Bombyx mori: one gene and its partners. The protein of the gene in region 2 purifies or fractionates together with the protein of the main gene of each other region. This does not show direct contact. Links are inferred from orthologs where the notes say so. Each region holds a gene or a part of one and is shown on either strand. Other genes may lie near its edges.

Evidence for each region.
Region 1: the proteins of DNA-directed RNA polymerase III subunit RPC3 (region 2) and DNA-directed RNA polymerase III subunit RPC8 purify together in Homo sapiens (affinity purification with mass spectrometry; 5 studies listed by BioGRID and IntAct, with this or other methods). This does not show direct contact. The link is inferred for Bombyx mori from reciprocal best matches to the Homo sapiens genes POLR3C and POLR3H.
Region 3: the proteins of DNA-directed RNA polymerase III subunit RPC3 (region 2) and DNA-directed RNA polymerase III subunit RPC2 fractionate together in Homo sapiens (co-fractionation; 4 studies listed by BioGRID and IntAct, with this or other methods). This does not show direct contact. The link is inferred for Bombyx mori from reciprocal best matches to the Homo sapiens genes POLR3C and POLR3B.
Region 4: the proteins of DNA-directed RNA polymerase III subunit RPC3 (region 2) and DNA-directed RNA polymerases I, II, and III subunit RPABC5 purify together in Homo sapiens (co-immunoprecipitation; 3 studies listed by BioGRID and IntAct, with this or other methods). This does not show direct contact. The link is inferred for Bombyx mori from reciprocal best matches to the Homo sapiens genes POLR3C and POLR2L.

Annotation. Positions count from the first base shown.
Region 1 is NC_085117.1:13,231,079-13,236,596, reverse strand, and holds DNA-directed RNA polymerase III subunit RPC8, read left to right. Parts: upstream 1-1,726; 5' UTR 1,727-2,150; coding exon 2,151-2,261; intron 2,262-2,372; coding exon 2,373-2,556; intron 2,557-2,648; coding exon 2,649-2,789; intron 2,790-3,595; coding exon 3,596-3,795; 3' UTR 3,796-3,810; downstream 3,811-5,518.
Region 2 is NC_085120.1:9,120,528-9,125,602, forward strand, and holds part of DNA-directed RNA polymerase III subunit RPC3, read right to left. Parts: intron 4,770-5,075; coding exon 4,640-4,769; intron 3,998-4,639; coding exon 3,793-3,997; intron 3,192-3,792; coding exon 3,099-3,191; intron 2,336-3,098; coding exon 2,168-2,335; intron 1,420-2,167; coding exon 1,239-1,419; intron 555-1,238; coding exon 434-554; intron 1-433. UniProt on the Homo sapiens protein: DNA-dependent RNA polymerase catalyzes the transcription of DNA into RNA using the four ribonucleoside triphosphates as substrates.
Region 3 is NC_085116.1:7,719,628-7,725,446, forward strand, and holds the start of DNA-directed RNA polymerase III subunit RPC2, read left to right. Parts: upstream 1-1,915; 5' UTR 1,916-2,142; coding exon 2,143-2,217; intron 2,218-2,595; coding exon 2,596-2,927; intron 2,928-3,511; coding exon 3,512-3,624; intron 3,625-4,556; coding exon 4,557-4,732; intron 4,733-5,165; coding exon 5,166-5,353; intron 5,354-5,819. UniProt on the Homo sapiens protein: Catalytic core component of RNA polymerase III (Pol III), a DNA-dependent RNA polymerase which synthesizes small non-coding RNAs using the four ribonucleoside triphosphates as substrates.
Region 4 is NC_085133.1:5,484,384-5,489,347, forward strand, and holds DNA-directed RNA polymerases I, II, and III subunit RPABC5, read left to right. Parts: upstream 1-1,852; 5' UTR 1,853-2,129; coding exon 2,130-2,224; intron 2,225-3,264; coding exon 3,265-3,373; 3' UTR 3,374-3,439; downstream 3,440-4,964. Other genes in the region: polyamine-transporting ATPase 13A3, read right to left, coding at 188-304. UniProt on the Homo sapiens protein: DNA-dependent RNA polymerase catalyzes the transcription of DNA into RNA using the four ribonucleoside triphosphates as substrates.

The DNA of each region.
Region 1 (5,518 bases), on a different chromosome or scaffold from region 2:
GTAAAAATCAGTTTTATAGGTCGAAATTGATCTTGAATGCTTTAAAAGAACAACATGGTGAAATGTAAGTACGCTTCAGTGTGTTTTATTATTGTCAAGGTTTTTTGTTTTCCAAAATTGCAACCTACTACGACACATAAAGTAAATGAAGGTGCAAATATTCCAGAGGATGTTAAAACTGCATACGGGGATCACAAAGCTAGAGCAAGTAAAGCAATACAAAAGTATCAAGAAGATGCCTCCCTAGAAAATACTTCCTCTGTGAGATACTATTCGATGGATTTACAAAAAGTTATGTTGTTACCCGACATGCCTAAAGTCAAAGAATCGTTTTTCTTGAGTAGAATGATAACTTTCAACTTGACATTTGCACCAATCAGAAAGAAAACGAATGTTAATAATATTTGTATTCTATGGCATGAAGCCTGTTCTGGACGAGATGCTCATGACATTGTTAATGCAATTGCAGCAATGATCGAAAAAGAAAGAGATTTTAATCATTTGATATTGTGGTGTGATAATTGCAGAGCTCAAAATAAAAATTGGATCCTCTTTACATCACTTGTTACTATAATAATCTCTGGGTTTTTCAATTTAAAAAGTTGGACTTTGTAATACCTACCTAACTAAAGATCACACAAGCATGTCGCTGATGGAGTTCATGGCAATATGGAGAGGCAGATTAAAAACAAAAGATGCTGTGTACGATTTTGAAGACTATAAGAATGTAATTTTGGGTTGCAAATCGCATATTGAAGTTATCGAATTCGAAAAATCGTATGAGTGGGTAAAAAAGAAACGCATACCGCGACGCAATGATGACCTTGTTCCCATTAATAATTTTTTGCTTAGTTCTTTGGTTGAAATAATATTTGTAAATGGGTGCCGTAATATGTTTTGAATGATTTTTAATCTCCGTATTCCGAGTTGAATTCTCTTATTAAAAACACAATCTCTTGATCATGCCAACCTTAAAAAATATTCCAAGAGGCATTAACGAAAGTAATAAGGAAGGCATAGTAACAACTTTATTTAGCTTAAAGAAGTTTTGGAGAAGAAGTCTTGGCAAAGTGTACCGATTAATAATAATCCAGTTAATTTAGTTTCTAGTGGACAAATATTAATAACCGAATAATTTATTTTTATTTGACTGTTTTCAAATATTTTGAGTGATTATTTTTTGATTTTTTACTGTGAACAAATAGTGTTTGGTTTCCGATTATGTGTTTTTTTTTTCTTTTTCATTAAAACTGCTTATTTCTGCCCATATTTATGTTGTTTTATTCTGTTTTTTCTTACTATGTTTAAAAAATTGCATTTAGTTCCTACTCAGTAAATTCAGACCTAAATGAAAACAAAGCAAGTGATCTTACTAAGTCTATTAATTTGCGTTTATCCCCACTCATTATATTTTAGAATTAGATGAAAACAAAGCAAGTGATCTTACTAGGTTTTGAAATTGTCACACTCAAAAAGTTTGATCTAAGAAAACAATCTTTTTATTAGTAACTGCTCCTCTACGCACATCTTTTGTGATAGACGCATGAAATCTACTTTTTTATAAAGCCTGTTATGCACCTCAAATTTTGCAATCACTCTCAAGAAGGTACGACTAATATTATTGAAACGGCACGCTGTCAAAGATATGAAATTGTTTTTCGGCTCTCCTGTAAAATTTAGTTTTATGCAGATACTGGGTTTTGATATTTCACAGCCGATTAGTATCGACGCTTGAAAGGCAAACGTGACTAGGTGACAATGCAATGACAATGCGTGAACTTTACAGTAGACTAAAGTTAAAGTTGGAATACCTGAAAAAAATCTATTTTAACGAATCTAGCTGTAGTAGAATCTAGCTAGTAGCTGTAGGATTGAAATGATTTTAATAGACCTAGAAATATATAGTTTTTGCGCCTCGAATATGGTTATTGCCTATCATTTATGTACAAAGCAGTTATTGTCGCTTAGTCACGTTTGCCTTTCAAGCGTCGATATGGAATGAAACATTGGAAGGTGGACTTAAAAAACTCGTACCCATGCCTTCAATTCTTAAAAAAAAAAGCAAAATAGTAAACAGAGCAGACCATAAAATCTTCAAAAACCGAAGTTTTAAATAGAATTTAATAGTAACATATTTATCAAATAAACCAATGTTTGTATTAGCTGAAATGAAAGATGTTATTCGAGTTAATCCAGAATACTTTCGTCAAAGTCTAACTGATTCTATAACAACTTTACTCAACAGAAAGTTAGCTAATAAGGTTCATAAATCATAACTATCCAAATTAATTTAACCGAATTAGTTTATCTAATTGTATTTATTATTAGTTGTATATTGTATAATATATATGTTATTAAATATGTATTTTCAGGTTGTGTTAGAAGTAGGTTTATGTATTGTACTGTTTGACATAACCAATGTTGGACACTCGTACATATTCCCTGGAGACGGTTCATCTCACACAGAGGTGAAATTTAGATATATCGTGTTTCGACCTATTATTGAAGAGATACTTATAGGAAAAATAAGGAGCTGCAGTAGAGAAGGCGTGCACGGTAATTTATCAGTCATAAAATTACATGTATACTCAATAATGAGACCCAAATGTAAATAAATCATGATTATAATTACTATTTAAAATTTTCAGTGACATTAGGCTTTTTCGATGATATATTAATACCAGTAAATGCTCTTCAGCATCCGTCTAGATTTGACGAAACCGATCAAGCATGGGTATGGGAATATCCTAAGGAAGATGGAGAAAAACATGATTTGTTCATGGACTCGGGTGTGTATTATCAAACTCCAATTAATTAATATACATTTAATAATTTTTAATAAATAAGTTAAAATTTTAAATATATGTTAATATCTATTAAAGTACACTTGCTGAGTGAAACACAATGTGTTGGTGTCGTAGTCTGGTCCCAGCATTAGCATTGCTACCTTTGTATTGTTTAGAAATGCCACAGATGGGTTTTCTATAATAAAGATTCCCGCAGGCAGGTGCCAATGCTTCTAATGAAATACGTACTTAACAAATGTTCACGAATGACGTCCACAATGATGGAATAATATTGGGTGATAAAAACCAAACTTGCAAAATTATAATTTGTATAATTAGGTAGTAGGACATCTTATGAGTCCACATGGGTGGACTCCACCACCAGCTGCCTATTTCTGTGTCAACCAGTAGTGTTTGGTTTTAAGGATGGAGCATGTGTTGCACTGTAAAAACGGAGACCATAGAACTTATGTCCCAGGGTGGGTGGCTGCATTTAAATTTTAGATGTCTATGTGCTTCAGTAACTACTTAATGCCAGGTGGGCCATGTGATTGTCCACTCATTTAAGCAAAATAAAATATGCCAAAACACAGGTTAGCACTGTTGACTAACAAAACTTAATAAAATGGGTATTTGTTTAGAAGACAATGCCAATAATAAAAGCACCTAAAAAACTACATTGGTGGATTGACACAATCTAGATGTAAATTATAATAACTACACAAATATTATGCCTTATCATCACTACAAAGATTCTTTTTACTGTTAACATTGAAAATCTGTACTTTTAATAATAAAACAAATTACAGGTGAATCAATAAGATTTCGAGTGACAAGTGAGTTTTTTGAAGAGAGCTTACCAACAGGTCCTCCAGGAACAGATTGTACAGTACAAACGGTAGCACCTTATAGACTGATTGGAGGAATAAATGAACCAGGACTTGGACTTTTAACCTGGTGGGAGACACCAGATCAAGAGGGTGAAGAGGATGAAATAGATGATGAATAAAATATTCAGCTTCTATTGTTATTTTTTTATTTGTACTATGTTTGGGGAAACGGTTTGTTAAACTTCTCTGAATGTCTCCAAAGGAAGCTAATCATAAAAGGCACATGGCAAGTCCATCTATCAGGAGATTGAAATTGTGAGCTACTGAGAATATACAGGGAAACTAAGAGGGTTTAGTTGCTGATTAAATTATTTTTTTAGTTTCGATGGGTGGACACACTCATAGCCCTAGTATTAAGTGGTTACTGGAGCCCATAGACATCTACAACGTAAATGTGCCACCCACCTTGAAATATAAGTTCTAAGTCCCCAGTATAGTTACAACAGCTGCCCCTCCCTTCAAACCGAAATACATTACTGCTTTACGGAAGAAATAGGCTGGGTGGTGGTACCTACACGTGCGGACTCACAAAGGCCCTGCCACCAGTAATTACGCAAATTATAATTTTGCGTGTAATATACTAAAGATGGGTTCAAATTCAAGTGACGTCTATAGGTTCTGGTAACCCCTAAAGATTGGAATGAGCCATCTGGAACTAATCATAAGAGTCAGTTGATAATAACTGTATGTAGACTTCCACTTTATTCAAGGAGGACGTTGATTATTGTCTGCTTAAGATTCGCTATTAATTCAAGAATTATAACCTCATTAAAACGTTAAAGTAAATTAAAAAGTAAAATATAATTTGCAACAATATTTATTTAACATGATTATATAATAATACATAGTGATTATATTCCATTATTTTATTATAATTTTAAAATAATAAGTAAATGCCAATCTTAACTTAAGAATTCGGCGTTATAAGTAGATACTATGCCATAGTAACCTTGTCGAAAAAAAACCTAAAATCACAGTGTTTTGACCTGGGTCTAAATCCTTTAATGCACCAAATTACAAAAAGTTATGGGTCAGGCATATGTAACCAACTAATGATACTTTTTGATGAGATCACTCAGTTCAAAAAGGAATAAAATAAAATCTAGAATAGTTAAAATTACTTTTACACTATCACTTTCTACAATATTAAAATCACCTTGCAAAATAAATAACAATGTGTTACAAAAAAAACCGGTTTGATCCTTTTCTGCTAGCTATACAGGGTATAGGTACTGTATACACTTAAGCATTATGTAAGTTAAGCTTGTGCAGTTTTGCCTGTACATGGGATTTTTTTGAATATTAGTGGAATTGTATGAAAATTTGCTATATTTGTCAGAATATGCTTGTGTAGATAAAATGTACTGGTAAAACTAAGTGTTTGTCACCAGCACTGGTCTTAAGTTTCTAGTGATTAGTAATAAATAATAATAGTACTATATAAGTCATTATTGAGCGCATCCAATACTGCTACGGTGGCATTATTTAGCTGAGAACTTTGACGGACAGTTGGTAAAAGTCTTTCTACGAAAGGATAATAATAATTAGCATTGTAAATTGGATTTCGTCACGTTTAAGATGACGGATTGGCCTGCGCTTTTTAATTTCAAATTTGTTAAATTCTACACGCAATTCTACCTTTTTTTCTGACTTGACTTTTAATAGTTCTACAAAGATTTCACAGATGTTAAAGTCACAGCTCATTAGAGCCACCCGGTACTCACTCCGCGGGCCTAATGGCGGGTGGACCATTCGGCGACAACTCGCTGCTATGCCTAAGTATGCCTAAGTATGCGACTTGCCTTACGATGACTGCGCATTGTCAATGCTGGCCACAAAAAA
Region 2 (5,075 bases):
GTAGTTAACAGAGTTTATAGACATAATGACTTGAATATTTTTTTTCCTATCTATGCTGATAGCCTTGAGAAGCTATTTCAGCTTCGCCCTAACATGTAGGTGAGCTCACCGACCTCAAACCGAAAGTGTTGCTAACACTGACCCTAGCAAGAGCAGTGCTTCACAGAATCTACCACCGGATCGGAAACGCGACCCACTGAGATGATCCGGCGAGAAACTCAGTGGACTGTGTCTGTGGGTTAATTACCTGTCGCTTGCAACGGGTTCGGTGAGGTCGAAGGCTCATATGAACGCAGTGCTGTCCATATGAGCCTCCGACCCTGCAGATCTTGGCTCTGAGTCCGACGTGAACTGAAGATCATTTCGAGAGAATCCGCATCAGACGGTAGACCTCAAATTTGAAACCGAAAGAGTCCGGACATACTATACCCACCTGTAAACTAATGAAATGCTCTTCTAAAAGTTTATACGACAGCTCTTTGCATTCCTTATTTGGTAGCATGGCGTTTTTTTGTACGTCATCCTCTTCTATATATTTCTTATCGAGAATTATTCTGAAAAAAAATATACAATAATTATAAAAAAAAAAACATATTTTTTGACTTCATTGTTATAAATGGGCGAACGAGCTCACGTCTGATCTGGCGTTAAGGTCGAGAGCCCATGGACATCACGAATATTAAATTGTACACCGGCTGGCTCAAATTCGAATTAGAATACGGAACTACGGATAGGTGGTGGATGTTTTGTTTGATTATACCCTACAATCAATAATATCGCCTCATTAACTAATCAATCGATGAGACAATGAAAATCTGTTACTGAAACTGCTACTCGCCTACCGATACTACTATTTCGTGATATCTTTGGCACAAATCAAAGTATTTTAATAATAATTACAGACCTTAAATCGTCGATCGATTAATCGGTGTGTGACTTTTCGTGGAAATGTGCCGAGAGAAATGACGTGTGATTTTTTTTTTATTGCTTAGATGGGTGGACAAGCTCATAGCCCAGCTGGTGTAAGGGGTTACCGGAGCCCATAGACATCTACAACGTAAACGCACCACCCACCTTGAGATATAAGTTCTAAGGTCTCAGTATAGTTACAACGACTGCCCCACCCTTCAAACCGAAACGCATTACTGCTTCACGGCAGAAATAGGCGGGGCGGTGGTACCTACCCGCGCGGACCCACAAGAGGTCCTACCACCAGTAAAAAAAAAGCAAAGTTTAACCTGAATATCCTGGCGGCCTTGTAGCCCAGTCTCTCCGTGACCAGCCCCTCCAGCAGCGCCAGCAGGCACCCCCGCGCCGCGCCCGCCCCCCGCACGCTGTACCCCCGCCCCCCCGCGTCCGCCCGCACCGTGCCGCACCCGCTCTCCTCTGTCACACGCAACGCACTCTTTTTTTTCCTGCCTAAGCTAATAAGTTTGAGAGGCTATGTCAGCGTAACGTAAGCGTGTTGCTAACATTAACCCTAGCAAGAGCAGTGCTTCGCAGAATCCACGACCAGATGGTAAACGCGACCCACTGAGAAGATCCAGCGAGAAACTCAGTGGGCTATGTCTATGGGTCAATTTACTCGCCGGGACCTACGTCACAAGCGACGGTTTCGACGAAAACGATGACAGGTGCTTGTGGTGCCTAAAAGCACCGATAATGGATCGGGAGGATCCGAAATGACGCGTCAGATTCACCATAATTCAATATTACTTCAACTCATAATTTATGAATTTTCAATTGTGCATATGTATGTGTATAAATATATATTTCACTGGATTAGTACACCGCACGTAAGGATCTTCTCAGCGGATCGCGATTCCGATCTGGTAGTAGATTCATCCGTGAAGCAGCTGCTCTTGAGTTGTTAGGTCTCCTTTGGAGGTGCTCGGGCAGCTGTTAGCAAATCCTACCCCTTCTGGCTGAGCCTTTGCTCGCCCACCCGTCCTGGTGAAACTGGCAAGGCCTCCAGGCCACCAGTAAATCTTCAATCATAAAAAAAAAATATTCGTTTCCAAATGAATCTTGTCTACCTGATGTTTGTCTGGAAGAGATCGCTCTTAGCGATAACACCTCCAATTGTACTTTTTTATTTAACGTATCGCATTGTTTTTTTTTTGGGTGCACACTAAAGAATACTCACTTACTCATAAAAAAACCTCACCTAAGACCTTCAGATATTGATCGAAATACTGATTCAAGAGGGGCTTGTCAGCAGCGGCCCGGAGACAAGCCTCCCTCAATTCCACGGCCGGCACTAGTGTAGACTCTGCAGCCCACGCCGGAGACGTCAGGTACATGTGTTGCAGCATATGACGAAGAAGCTCACCGGCTGGAGAAGAATACAAAATTCACAACTCATCAGAGGAACTCCAAAGATATCAGTCTGTCCGGCTATTCATATGACAGCAATGCTCGCCGCAAACCTCGTTTGAACAATGACATAAATGTTTGGTTGATGTTGATATATTTTTTTATTGCCCTTGTAGGCAGACAAGCATACGGCCCACCTGATGGTAAGTGGTTACCGTCGCCCATGGACTTCAGCAATGCCATGGGCAGAGCCAAGCCGCTGCCTACCGTTAAATACTCTCCACAAGCCTCCTTTGAAGAGTGACATGACAGTGACATAGTGCTCAGGAAACACCGTGGAGGGGAGCTTATTCCAAAGCCGGATGGTACGTGGCAAAAAAGATCTCTGGAAACGCAGTGGGTCCAGGTAATATGGATGAACTCTACTCCGGTGGCGGGCGGTGCGGTGGTAAAAACGAGATGATGGTATCATCTCAAACAATTCCACAGAGCACTCCCAGCCAGAGATAGCCAGTATTCTCAATTCCTAGGACACTGAAGGCAAATATCAAACCTGTAAAAGTCATAAACTTCTTAATTACAGTAGAGCGTCTTGTGAGCCCGCACAGGTAGGTACCATTCTGCCGCAAAGCAGAGAAAGCAATTGAGTCTTAATCTTCTTCATCCACATATGCAAAAACCAATCTTGGGTAGAACAAAAAAAAATTTCGATGACCTCTAGCATTGCTAACGTATCCCTGTGTCTGCCTCGAAAGACGTTTAAAAAAGAAAACAACATTCACCGTTTTCATCTATTCGTCTTGTGATTGCTTTGATCATAATTTCGTCGCGGATATCCTGATGGAACCTGTCGTAATTAACTTTCCAGTACACATCTGAAACAATAACATAAATATCTCAAATTCTTATTTAATAAATCAATATTGACCAATGGCCTACCAATCTGTCAAATATCTTATATTCAAACATTCATTCATGACTCATGTTGTGGTTTTTATATTGGGGTATCTATGATCATTTAAAATCAGGTAGACCATTAACCAGTCTGCCCAGCATGACCCATCAAAGCTCAACAATGCAGCCTCTCACATCATCTACACATTATAATATTCTTCTTCATTTGATTTGGAATTTGAATATCATTTTCAACAGAGACATCCATAGGTGATGCTCGGACTTATTATTAGGTGGAATGCCAGGCTTTCTTTGACAACAATATCACTAACTTTCGCAACGGTATCTCCAGTTCATATTCTGTTGTTCTACGAGCAGTATTCAATGGAAAATATAATTTGGATCGTGTTAAAATTACTCATTGAGTATCATGTTTAACAGTGACATACATAGGTGATGCTCGGACTTATTATTAGAGGGAATGCCGGGCTGTCTTTGACAACACTATTACTGGGTTTCGCAATGGCAACTCCAGTTCATACTCTGTTGTTCGACAAGCAAGATGATATTGAAATTACTCACTATCACTACTTTCAGCTAGATTTCCAGAATTCATAATTTTAATGACAGCTCGTACATCAATCTCTGGTGTTATAGTTGCGACGGGCACCAGTGTCGGTATCTCGCTGCCTTCCTTCAACTCAGCTACAGATGCCTGCTGTATGTAACCAGCGGTTATCAGACTTATAAAGATATCTTTTAGTTTCACTATAGTCATGTTCTTTTCCTGGTGAAGAAAGCAATATTTATCAGAATAGCTAAAAGAAATGAATACAAATAATTTGCCTAGTAATAAGGAACATTGTATAAATCAAAATATTTTGTGCTTATGGTTTTTTATTATTGCCCTTGTAGGCAGACGAGCATACGGCCCACCTGATGGTGAGTATGGTGAGTATGGTTATGGACGTCAGACAACTACTACCATAAATTTACGCATTATTAGATAACCATAGTAATTATAGTATGTGATATAATATATATTATATTGTAATGTAAAGTAATAAACATTTTGAGTAAAATGGGTTCTTTTTGGAATTCCAGATCTTAAAAGGATAAAAAGAAACCGTTATAGAATCATTTTGTTGTTTTTTTCTGTCTGTCTATCTGACAATGGATATCCGAATTTTTTTTGCATATTCCTGAAACTCAAATTTAAAGCAATGTAATAACAAGGATTTATTATTTATATTGTTAGAGTTATCATGTGCACTGGCCACAACTTAAATTAGGCTTTCTATAAGTTTTTCCTTCTACTATCTTATTTATCATATTAAATGTAAATTGTTCCTGCAAATAAACTGAGAATGCCAGATCTAAATATGCCACTTTAGTGGTGGTGCTTATAAAATGACTATGAACTAAGTACCTTGTCATCTTTATATTTAACAGCAATGGAGACTAATAGCACGGTAGCAGTGGAACATGCCTTTTGTAACAACTCTTCAATCAATATTTCTGCTTCACTACCGTACTTCGTTTTAATTTGTAGTAAATACCTGAAGAAAATTAACACTAATCATACCAACATTTACTGCAGGGGTGGGCAAAAGCCGGCCCGCGGGCCGGATCCGGCCCTTTTGCTAATTTTATCCGGCCCGTTGAAAAATTCCGCACATAAATTTTTTTAAACTCTTTTATGAGATTTTGTTGACATCAGCATTAAAAAAGCATATGCGGTAAAAAAGCATATGCGGTATAGTCCTCCGGCCCGGGAGACATTTTGAAAATTTCATTTTGGCCCGCGCTTTAAAGTATTTGCCCACCCCTGATTTACTGGTAACTATTTATATCATAGCTGGTGG
Region 3 (5,819 bases), on a different chromosome or scaffold from region 2:
GCCTGGAGCGGCTATTCCAGCGTAACCGTGGCTAGTAGGTGAGCTCACGGGGCTCAAACCTGACAACGATGATAACACGAACCCTAGCAAGAGCCGTGCTTCGCGGAATCTACCACCGGATCGGAAACGCGACCCACTGAGAAGATCCGGCGAGAAACTCAGTGGGCTGTGTCTGAGGGTTAATTTGCTCGTCGAGCCCTTCGTCGCAAGCGACGGGTTCGACGAGAACGGTGACCGGTGCTTGAAGTACCTAAAAGCACCGTTAGTGGATCGGAAGGATCCAAAATGACGTGTTTTGGGCGACGTCGACTGCTTTCCATTCTTTCCGCAGGATCGGGAATGTAGTTACCGGCGGCCACGATGAGAGGGTTCTCGTGTCGTGCCGCTTTGTCGAAGTGATCCGAACCGTTTTTTTTTTTCCTGCCTAATCTGGTAGCCTGGAGCGGCTATTCCAGCGTAACCGTGGCTAGTAGGTGAGCTCACGGGGCTCAAACCTGACAACGATGATAACACGAACCCTAGCAAGAGCCGTGCTTCGCGGAATCTACCACCGGATCGGAAACGCGACCCACTGAGAAGATCCGGCGAGAGTGGGCTGTGTTTGAGAGTTATGTCCGAACCGTTTTTTTTTTTTTTTTTATGATTGAGAGATTACTGGTGGCCCGAAGGCCTTTCCAGTTTCACCAGGACAGGTGGGCGAGCAAAGGCTCAGCCAGGAGGGGTGGGATTTGCTAACAGCTGCCCGAGCGCCTCCGAAGGAGACCTAACAACTCAAGAGCAATTGCTTCGCGAATGAATCTACTACCGGATCGGAATCGCGACCCGCTGAGAAGATCCGGTGAGAAGCTCAGCGGGCTGATGCATGGGCTAGGTTGCACGTCGACCTCTTTGTCGAGTTCGACGAGTACGGTTACTGGGGTCCCTAAGCCTGCTCCTAGTATTAGAGCTGAAGGCATCTAATGCAAAGGTTATTGGATCTGATGGATCCGTAAGGACGTGTCTAGGGCGTCGACGGTGACTGGCTCCTGCATGATCAGGATTCGGTGAGTAGTCAGCGGCGGCAACGATAAGGCGATTATCATGACGCATATCCTTATCGAAGTACCGTTCCGACGCTGACTTCATGTATTTCTGGATTGATTCAAGGCCCAGGTCGTCGTGTATTGTCCGAACCGTACCGAGAATTACCGAATTTATACGATGTCAAGAAAAGGGATGTCCAATATGCGTGTTTGAGGATGTTCTTTAATAAAAATAAAGTTTAACTTCTTACGCGCGTACATAAGTACACGCACCCTTTTTTTTTTGTTTATTTAGAGTTTCTTCAGGTTTAAGCGCCTTATTCACGATCCATCACGACTGTACGTCAGCTCAAGGCCGCAATTAATAATAATTATCGACGTACGTCAAGCCTATTCATGATCCTTTTGCATCGTGCATCGTGCATGGCCTTGGCGGGACGTACAGCAAGATGGATCGTGAATAAGGCGCTTTAAATAGGTAATCGGTGGTTTATTAACTGTCTATTATCTGTGAAAGTGCATAAATGTGGGAAAATGAAACAAAGCTGCTGAACGTAACTTCTCGGGATCCTCGAAAATCCACTGAAAAAGTCTCAGTAAATGACCACCGTTTTACTGAGATTATATTTCATCCCATATCACCTCATCTCATTTTATTTCGTTTTAATTTCATTTCATTTCATGCCATGTTTTATATTAATCGACTTTATTTCATTTCATAATATTATTTTTCATTTACCTAAAAAAACTTTTCATTAAAATTAAAATAAGACTTGACCTTGACTTGGTTTTAGTTACCAGGTCATAAAATCCCTTAAAAAAAGTATAGATGGATTTAAAAATTATTTATGGGCACGCTGTATGGGCTTAGATCCCCTTGCCTTTCTTAAAGGAAAAATTGTACCAAAAAAATATCTATGAGTTTAAAGTTTGTAATTAAATGTGCAGAATTGTGCTCGTGTTTGTTCGTTGTTAAAAATTGCACTTATTGTTTACATATGTACTCATCTGATTTGTTCCATTCTATAAAACAATTCCAAGATTCCATCGCTTGGTAAATACGGACAATATGATTTACTGCCGAAGATAGTTCAATATTACAATAGCTTATTTAATTTACATGATGGGCGAACTTAATAAAAAACAAAATGAGTGGGATACCAAAGGATTACGGGACCCTGTCAAAACCCTTGAGGTACTAGCTTTATTACTTTTCTGAATTACTACTATTGTTTTGATACACAATTGAAAAAAAAATACACGAACTATAATATTACTACTAACCAAACAACAAAATCATATAACTGTCTTTAAGATTTTGTTCATTCATTGATATTTAATCACTCCAAAGTTCAATTGTATAGTAACAAAAGTTGTAAGTGACAATATACAGTTGAGTTCAAAACCCTACCAAAGTATGATCATAATTATTTGAATAATAAAATGTATGAATTTTATAGAATAACATCATAAAAATCTTAGAAAAAAATAGTACAATTTACTGACGTCCTGATTTTATCTTAAATTTCTAATATTTCAGCTTAACACTGTTCATATGAATGTTTTCTTTCAGGATAAATGGAAATTAGTGCCTTCATTTCTTCAAGTTAAAGGTTTGGTGAAACAGCACATAGATTCATTTAATTACTTCATAAATGTGGAGATAAAGAAGATAGTACAGGCTAATGAAAAAGTATTTTGTGAATCTGATCCACTGTTCTATATTAAATATTTAAATGCCTATGTTGGTACACCTGACTTGGAAGAAGGGTTCAATATCACTAAGCCAACGACACCTCATGAATGTCGTCTTAGAGATATAACATACTCAGCTCCTATAACTGTTGATATAGAATATATTAGAGGAAACCAGAGGGTGATCAAAAATAAACAACTGATTGGAAGGTAACATCTTAAATAAATGAAGAAATGCATATTCTAATACTAGCAGATGTAATGTTGCTTGATCTATTACTATATCTTGATCTTACTCACTAAAAAGCAGAACATTCCAGGCTTTAAAAAATTCTGTATTATACATATCAAATGAATTTAACATTCTGTACTCCCAATTGAAAATATCCTATCTTAAAAACAATTCAATGAAAAGCTCGACAGAGAAATTATGTTTTATTGTTTGTCCACCCCACCCAATGTAACTCAGTTAAAAATTGATTGACTTATGGGCTGCAACTATTGATGATGTAGGAATTTAAGTAGTTCATCATCTGCCTTTTACCTATCTTCACGACACATGTCTGTCAAAGTATTAATAAAGTAGTCAAAGTAAAAACAGTTTTTGTGTCAATATCAAAGTAATAGTATCACAAATTTTTAACATGTTAATGATTCCTTTAATTACTTTAACATTAGGTCTTTGCTTATGAAGTTTAACAATACTGGCCATTTGAAATGTAATTAAATTATATACCTATTATTAACATCACTCTCATATATCATTTTGAAATCTGTATTTTGATTCTTTACAGAATGCCCCTCATGCTTAGGTCTTCAAACTGCGTTCTTACTAATAAATCGGATTTTGAGCTTGCACAGTTAAATGAGTGTCCCCATGATCCTGGAGGCTATTTTATTATAAGAGGTAAGAAACCAATTTAATTTTATACAACTAATATTAAAAAAAAACTCCAATGTATATAAATGTAAAATGTACATAAAATATTTAAATGTGTAATAATTGTAATCATAAAGTTAAATTTTATTAATTTGTTAATCTGGAGTAAAGTACATTGGGAGCCTTATATTTAGTCAGAATAAAAATAAACGAAAATTTAAATAAATATAATATAAAGAAATATAATAAATAAATATAAAGAAAAACTTTAAGTTAAAAATACATAGAATAAAAAATTTGGCAAGACTTAAAGCATAATAACCTAACATTGACCACATTAAGGTTGCATTTCACACTACATTTGGGTTTTTTTTTGTGGTCTAAATGAATGAAATACTGAGTTCTCTGTGAATATACAGTTATGAGCTAGGTTTCTAGACAAAATAATATGGTTTTAATGAAACACATTTATTAACAGTGCTCTAAAACAAAGTTAAAGACAATCAAATTCAAATTATCATTTTAACGATACTGTAAAAATAACTGCGTTTGAACGTTCAAAGAGATGATCTGATTGAGTAGCATAGCCAAAAAATATGCTAAAATTTATCTAAATTTCTAAAAAAAAAAGAAAACAGTTTTGGGATCCGAACACTATTGGTTTTGATTTCAAGAGTGACAATATTTTATTATTCGATCACTATTGCATACAGTTACATGGAGTGAATTCAGTTAGTTTTATATTGGCTTCATGTACGCTTTTTCATTTATGCAGCCCCTTTAATAGAAGTTCAATGGATGTATGGTTTTTAAAATGAAATGTATTTTTGTTTTTATTTTTCCCTGCACGAGTAGTACCTAGCCCCGTACCCGCTTGACCTTGAGTTTCAGGACACCTGTATAAGTACATATATATGTAGTTTACTTGAGTAATGAAAAACAATTTTTATTGTCTGTAGGTCAAGAAAAGGTGATTTTAATTCAAGAGCAACTCTCTAGAAATCGAATGATTGTTGATGAATTCAAAGGAGCAGTACAATGTCAGGTTACAAGTTCCACACATGAGAAGAAAACTAGAACGAATGTGATTCTTAAACATGGAAAATATGTGCTCAGACATAATGCATTGTCTGATGTATGTTACTACTTAAATCAATTTCATTTAACAAACAATAATCAAAGCTATATATGTATTTTTTACTGGTGGTAGGACCTCTTGTGAGTCCGCACGGGTAGGTACCACCACCCTGCCTATTTCTGCCGTGAAGCAGTAATGCGTTTCGGTTTGAAGGGTTGGGCAGCCGTTGTGACTATACTGAGATCTTAGAACTATATCTCAAGGTGTGTGGAGCATTTACCTTGTAGATGTCTATGGGCTCCAGTAACCACTTAACACCAGGTGGGCTGTGAGCTCGTCCACACATCTAAGCAATAAAAAATAAAAATAAAACCATAATATGTTTTGAATTGGACTTCTTCCCTTCAAAATTACAAAAGCTATTTCAAAAGCTAAAATAAATAATTTCCAATTATGTAGTTTCCACTAATTTGTATTTTTTTATATTCAGGATATTCCAATAGCTGTCGCCTTTAAAGCCATGGGCATATGTAGTGATCAAGAAATAATGCAGCTTGTAGGTACTGACGATAATACAATAAAAAAAATGGCACCTTGTATTCTAGATTGCCATAATTTGAAAATATTTACTCAAAATCAAGCTCTGACTTATATAGGAAGTAAACTAAAAGTAAAAAGGTAAGGTTTCATTTTACATCTAATTTATCACTGTTTAGTGCATATATAAATAAAAATATTTTACTACCCCGCTGTTTCTGTAAGCTTTTTTTGTAATCAAATTACTTAATAGTTACTAATTGTTTTAAATGTTCGCGACTAATAATATATTGAACGCGTTCATAATTTAATTTCGTTAAAAATCTATGCTAAATTGTGATAAAGTACGCTCTTTGTGCTGAGGAGATAGAGAAAATATGTCCAAGGAAAGTAGTCCAGTATATGACAAATTGGGCCTGGAAAAAGATATCTATATAGAACGCGGGAGAAGTTGAAATAAATCCAATTCAGCAGTGAAAGTGTACTTACAGTCTTCCATCCCTTGCGAGCATTCATATAAAAATACCGTTTGATAGATCTAATATGCTTATAGTTAAAAAATAAACGTACATTTAAACCTTAACCATTGCCATTACATATATTTAAA
Region 4 (4,964 bases), on a different chromosome or scaffold from region 2:
AGGCCATTGGCTAATTCATCCTGGAAGTCAGAACTGTTTTTACATGACTCACTAAGCAAAACCACCCACCACACGAACCTTTTCAAATAGAACAGCAGATTTTTTGTATGTATATATGAATTAATTTGATTAAAAATCATCAGTAATTCAGTGTTTTTGATCTATTAAGGATAAAACTAGTCCTTACCTGTTCAAAATCAGGGTCAATGTTGATTAACTGTGTTGTAAGTTCTAAATACAGTGGTTCTCGAGAGCTATTTCCCTTATAATGTATCAAAGGTTGAATATCATCATCTGAATCCATTTTTTTTATTTCAATAATCGCACTACTTTGTAATATATTGTTTGTTTTTTTAATTTATCTAGTAGACTAATAAATTTAAATTTCATTACAGAAATGAAATCATATTAAGACATTTTTTTTTATACTTATTAAAATAATCTTAATGAATTCTTGTATTTCAATTGAGAACAAGGCTTTTGTTCATGAAATTAAAAATAAATTTAAAATTTCATACTGCAAAATTGCCTGATAACTGCACTGTCAGATATTTTTCACTATTATATCCGAATTAACGCTAAGGCCAGACCTTTGAAATTGTAAATAATTCAAAATACAACAGAAAAGTAAGAAAAATTATCACCAAAAAATTACAAAACCCCCTTGTTTGTTGTATTTCTTTTAATAATCTAATGTCAATTGTCAAAATATCATTTTTATTGATTCGTTCATATAGTACAGGCAAAGGAAATGGGACGCATACAGTAAAATGTTTTGTAATTTAAGCTGAAGCCAATCATCAGTCAAAGGTGAACTGGAACGAATAAACTGAATAATTGTATGAGACCGAATGGAAATTGTACGTTGTAGTTAATTTAGGGTTTCTTCAGACTTTAAAGCTTAAAATAATGGTTTATTAACCGTAAAACATTTGTTATAGTACACAAGTATGAGAAAATGGAGTAAAGCAGCTGGAAATGTATTTAGAACATATTTTTATGCAGCGCAGCATTGCAATGAGTCGATTCCTATATTGAGACGAAGCAGATAACACTGAAGGAGAAAATGAAATATACTTAACAACAACAACATCATAGGACTTGAATTACATGAAATTAAATAAATATCGCAGTAACTTATTATTAAGCAACTGACAGCCTAATGCATATTTTGGAAGAATACGAGAAGCTATGACTGACGTTCGTCTTTCATTTTCCCAAACTTTTGCATTTTCACATATTCCAAACGGTTCACAATTCACTCTCATTACACATGTAGATCTGATGAAATATTAAATTTACAAAATAAAATAATTAACTTTGGACTTTTGAGATTTCACAAATTCGATATGCTCTCCCATGCCTTAATGTACGGAATGAATGGTTGTTTTAACTTGATTTATTTACATTGAAAATTTGCCGATGATCACAAATGAAATGCTACGTACCATTTGACTGTCATCAATACTGATATGTTGCTGCAGGGATAAAGTCATTTTAACCTGAAATAATAGAGAAAACCATACATTTCACATTTTTTAAGAGACTGGCTTAGAAAATTTCTTGATTACTTATTAAAATATTCTAATAATAAGTAGACTGCTCCAAATATGCGTCAATCAATTTCACTCAAACGTTAAAAAGGAGCATATCTTACTCTCTAAAATCCAACCACTAAAAGTCAGTTTGGAAATTTAAAAAATAATTATGTACCATTCAAATGAAATGAACATTCATTCAATGTTTTAAAATGTTTTAAAAATAAAACATTAAAATTTGGTTCTATAGACTACATTCCTTTTGCCGATTGAAATCGACAAACAAAAATATCATATTTTCTTGTGACACTGTCATCTTTAATCATAAGTCATAGACAATACAATATGTAATCTATGACTGTCGTTGCGAGTCTAAAAAGTTTTTATCTCGAAGTAAAATAATATTATTGTGAATTGTAAAGAATAGAATTACAGTGTTTTCTCATTAAATTTAATGATACTTTGTAACTAAAATATCTTCTATTATTATTAAAAGTAAATACGTTTTATAAACCAAATAAATAGTTAAAGCATTGATACTTTATAACCCCAGTGCCTCACCACAACTTTAGGTTGTAGGAAATAAACAAAATGATTATTCCAGTACGATGTTTCACATGCGGGAAGGTTATAGGAAACAAATGGGAAGCTTACTTAGGCCTGCTACAGGCGGATTACACAGAAGGGTACTGTACAATTTAAGTTTTGCAACTGGTTTTTATACTTACCAATATTCTAGAACTTTAAAATGGAAATAACTGACATACATAATATAATGTAGTTATTTGATAAAAATTCAGCAAGAAAGATAAAACAGCTCCTCCCAGAAACAATATTAATGTTCTTATGAATTCAAATGACGGAATATGTAGGTGATTCCTGTTAACTTGGGTTTTTCTTATTTGCCAACTCATACTTACAGCCCACCTATCTTAAAGTGGTTATCATAATCCATAGGTCACAAGGTGGTAATTTTTTTTTTTTTTTTTTTTTTTTTTTTTTCCTACCTAAGCTGATAGCCCTAGCGGCTATTTCAGCGTAGCCTTAACTTTAGTAGGTGAGCTCACGGGGCTCAAACCTGACGATGTTGCTAACACGAACCCTAGCAAGAGTCGTGCTTCGCAGAATCTACCACCGGATCGGAAACGCGACCCACTGAGAAGATCCGGCGAGAAACTCAGTGGGCTGTGTCTGAGAATTAATTTACTCGTCGAGCCCTTCGTCGCAAGCGACGGGTTCGACGAGAACGGTGACCGGTGCTTGAAGTACCTAAAAGCACCGTTAGTGGATCAGGAGGATCCGAGATGACGTGTTTAGGGCGACGTCGACTGCTTTCCATTCTGTCCGCAGGATCGGGAATGAGGTGGTAATGATGGTAGATCTTGACACCAGATTAATCTCTGGACTGTTTTGCAATATCCAGTTTGAGTGTGAGGAAACGGAAGCATATAAGTGATAAATGTAAGATGATATCCTACTAGACAAGTAAGCTATGTAAAAAGTGGCCCGAGTTGATATAATCATTACTACCAACTGCAGCAATGAAATAAGATTGTTAATGCTTGTTAGCTTTGAGTATTCTTATACCTTTTTTAATGTGTTTATAGGCATAAGATTCTCTTGATAGTGATAGATTACTGGTAATCATCGAAGTCAGTTAAGCGTACTGTATACAGTAGATTTACTATGTGAATGTTAATATTTAATTGTATTTTTTTACTTTCAGTGATGCTTTGGATGTCCTTGGATTGAAAAGATACTGCTGCAGAAGAATGTTGCTCGGACACGTGGATCTCATTGAAAAACTCTTGAATTATTCCCCATTAGAAAAATAATGAAATATTTTTTAAAAAACACAATTAAAAATAAAAATCTATAATTGACATAAATTTTTTAAGATATTAGAGTTTTTCTTTCATACCTATATTAATCACCGCACAAAGGCTCTTGATTTACATGCCTCCCATTGTCAATGGAAAGTTTAACACAGTATTTATTTTAACTGGTCAAAGTCTCAAAGCCTAGGACATTGGTTCCTTCTGTCTATTTGTGAAGAAATTCTATCTCTACTGTATATTTAATAGCCAAAATTATTGTAAGCTCTAACATTTGAAAAATGACCTGCTGTTTGCTTCTTTTATAATCTGCATCAATTGAGGTTTGTATACGAGTGCGTGGGTGCAGGTTTTTGTCAGCTTATTAATATTCTGAATCGTTAAAGCCTTGAAACTATATAAACTAAATAAGAGTGATTTTTTCATGTACCAAAAAAAACTAGAGTAGGTTAAGACTAGTTACAAAAATTTTATTGTTATGAGACTTGTTTTAATTGCTTTTTACTTGTTACGGCCAATCCACATTTCATTATTGCTCATTATCAGCTCGTCACACACTTCAATTATCAATTTCTTTTATAATTGAAATTCAATCCTTTTTGACTTTGCCAAAATCCAGTTTTATAGTCTGTGGTTTTGGTTGTGCCCAGATGTCTTTTGGTGTGGTTTGTACTCTTGTTTGTTCTTTTATAGGCTTCGTGATTGCACAAGGTCACATAAATTTTAATTATTATTATTTTACAAAGTAATCAACTGTTGAATTACTTACCTAAAACAGGACAAACAATATATGAGGCCTATCAAATCAAAGGCAGCTAAATGCCTTAATGTCGTAAAATGGATTTACAATGGCGTTATCTTGTTTAGTTAGTTGGACACGCCTTAGTGTTTTCATGTTATAACAAATGCAGCTAAATCTCTAACAAATTCAGTTCCAAAATTTTATTATTACTCTGTACTAAGTAATAATAAACGAAGTTTTATCATTTAAAATTCAGATTATTAGTAATATTCTCATTCTTTATAAATGTGCTGTAAAATAAAGAATATCGTAGCTATCCGAACAAAGTTATTTCAGCTTCTCAAACCGGGAGTGTTGCTAACACTGGCCCTAGCAAGAGCAGTACTTCGATGGATCGGGAGGATCCGTAATGACGTGTTTAGGGCCCATTTTTGTAGTTTACCTGAATATTTGACAGACTTGGATTTAGCTGCCTTTGATTTTATAGGCATCATACATATATAACAAAAATGATTGTTAGAAGGTTAGTAAGGACAAACAACTTATAGTCTAATGTTATTCTGGTGAACATATTCGCATAAAATATTTAGATAAGGTGTATGTACAAGGCTCAACAAAGATTTGAAATTTGTCGGTCTGGGGATAGTGTCCGGTAGCACTTCGTAAAGGGAAGGTCTTCTAGGGCAGTTAAAGAAAATGTGTTCTGCTGATCCCTCGTCGAGCCCACATTCACAGAGGGAACTATCCTTGACCCTTATTTTAGCTAGGTGAACCGGGGCACAAGCATGACCTAGTCTTAACCTACATATTGTGGACGTGACTCTCTTGTTGGCTTTCCTATATTTAAAA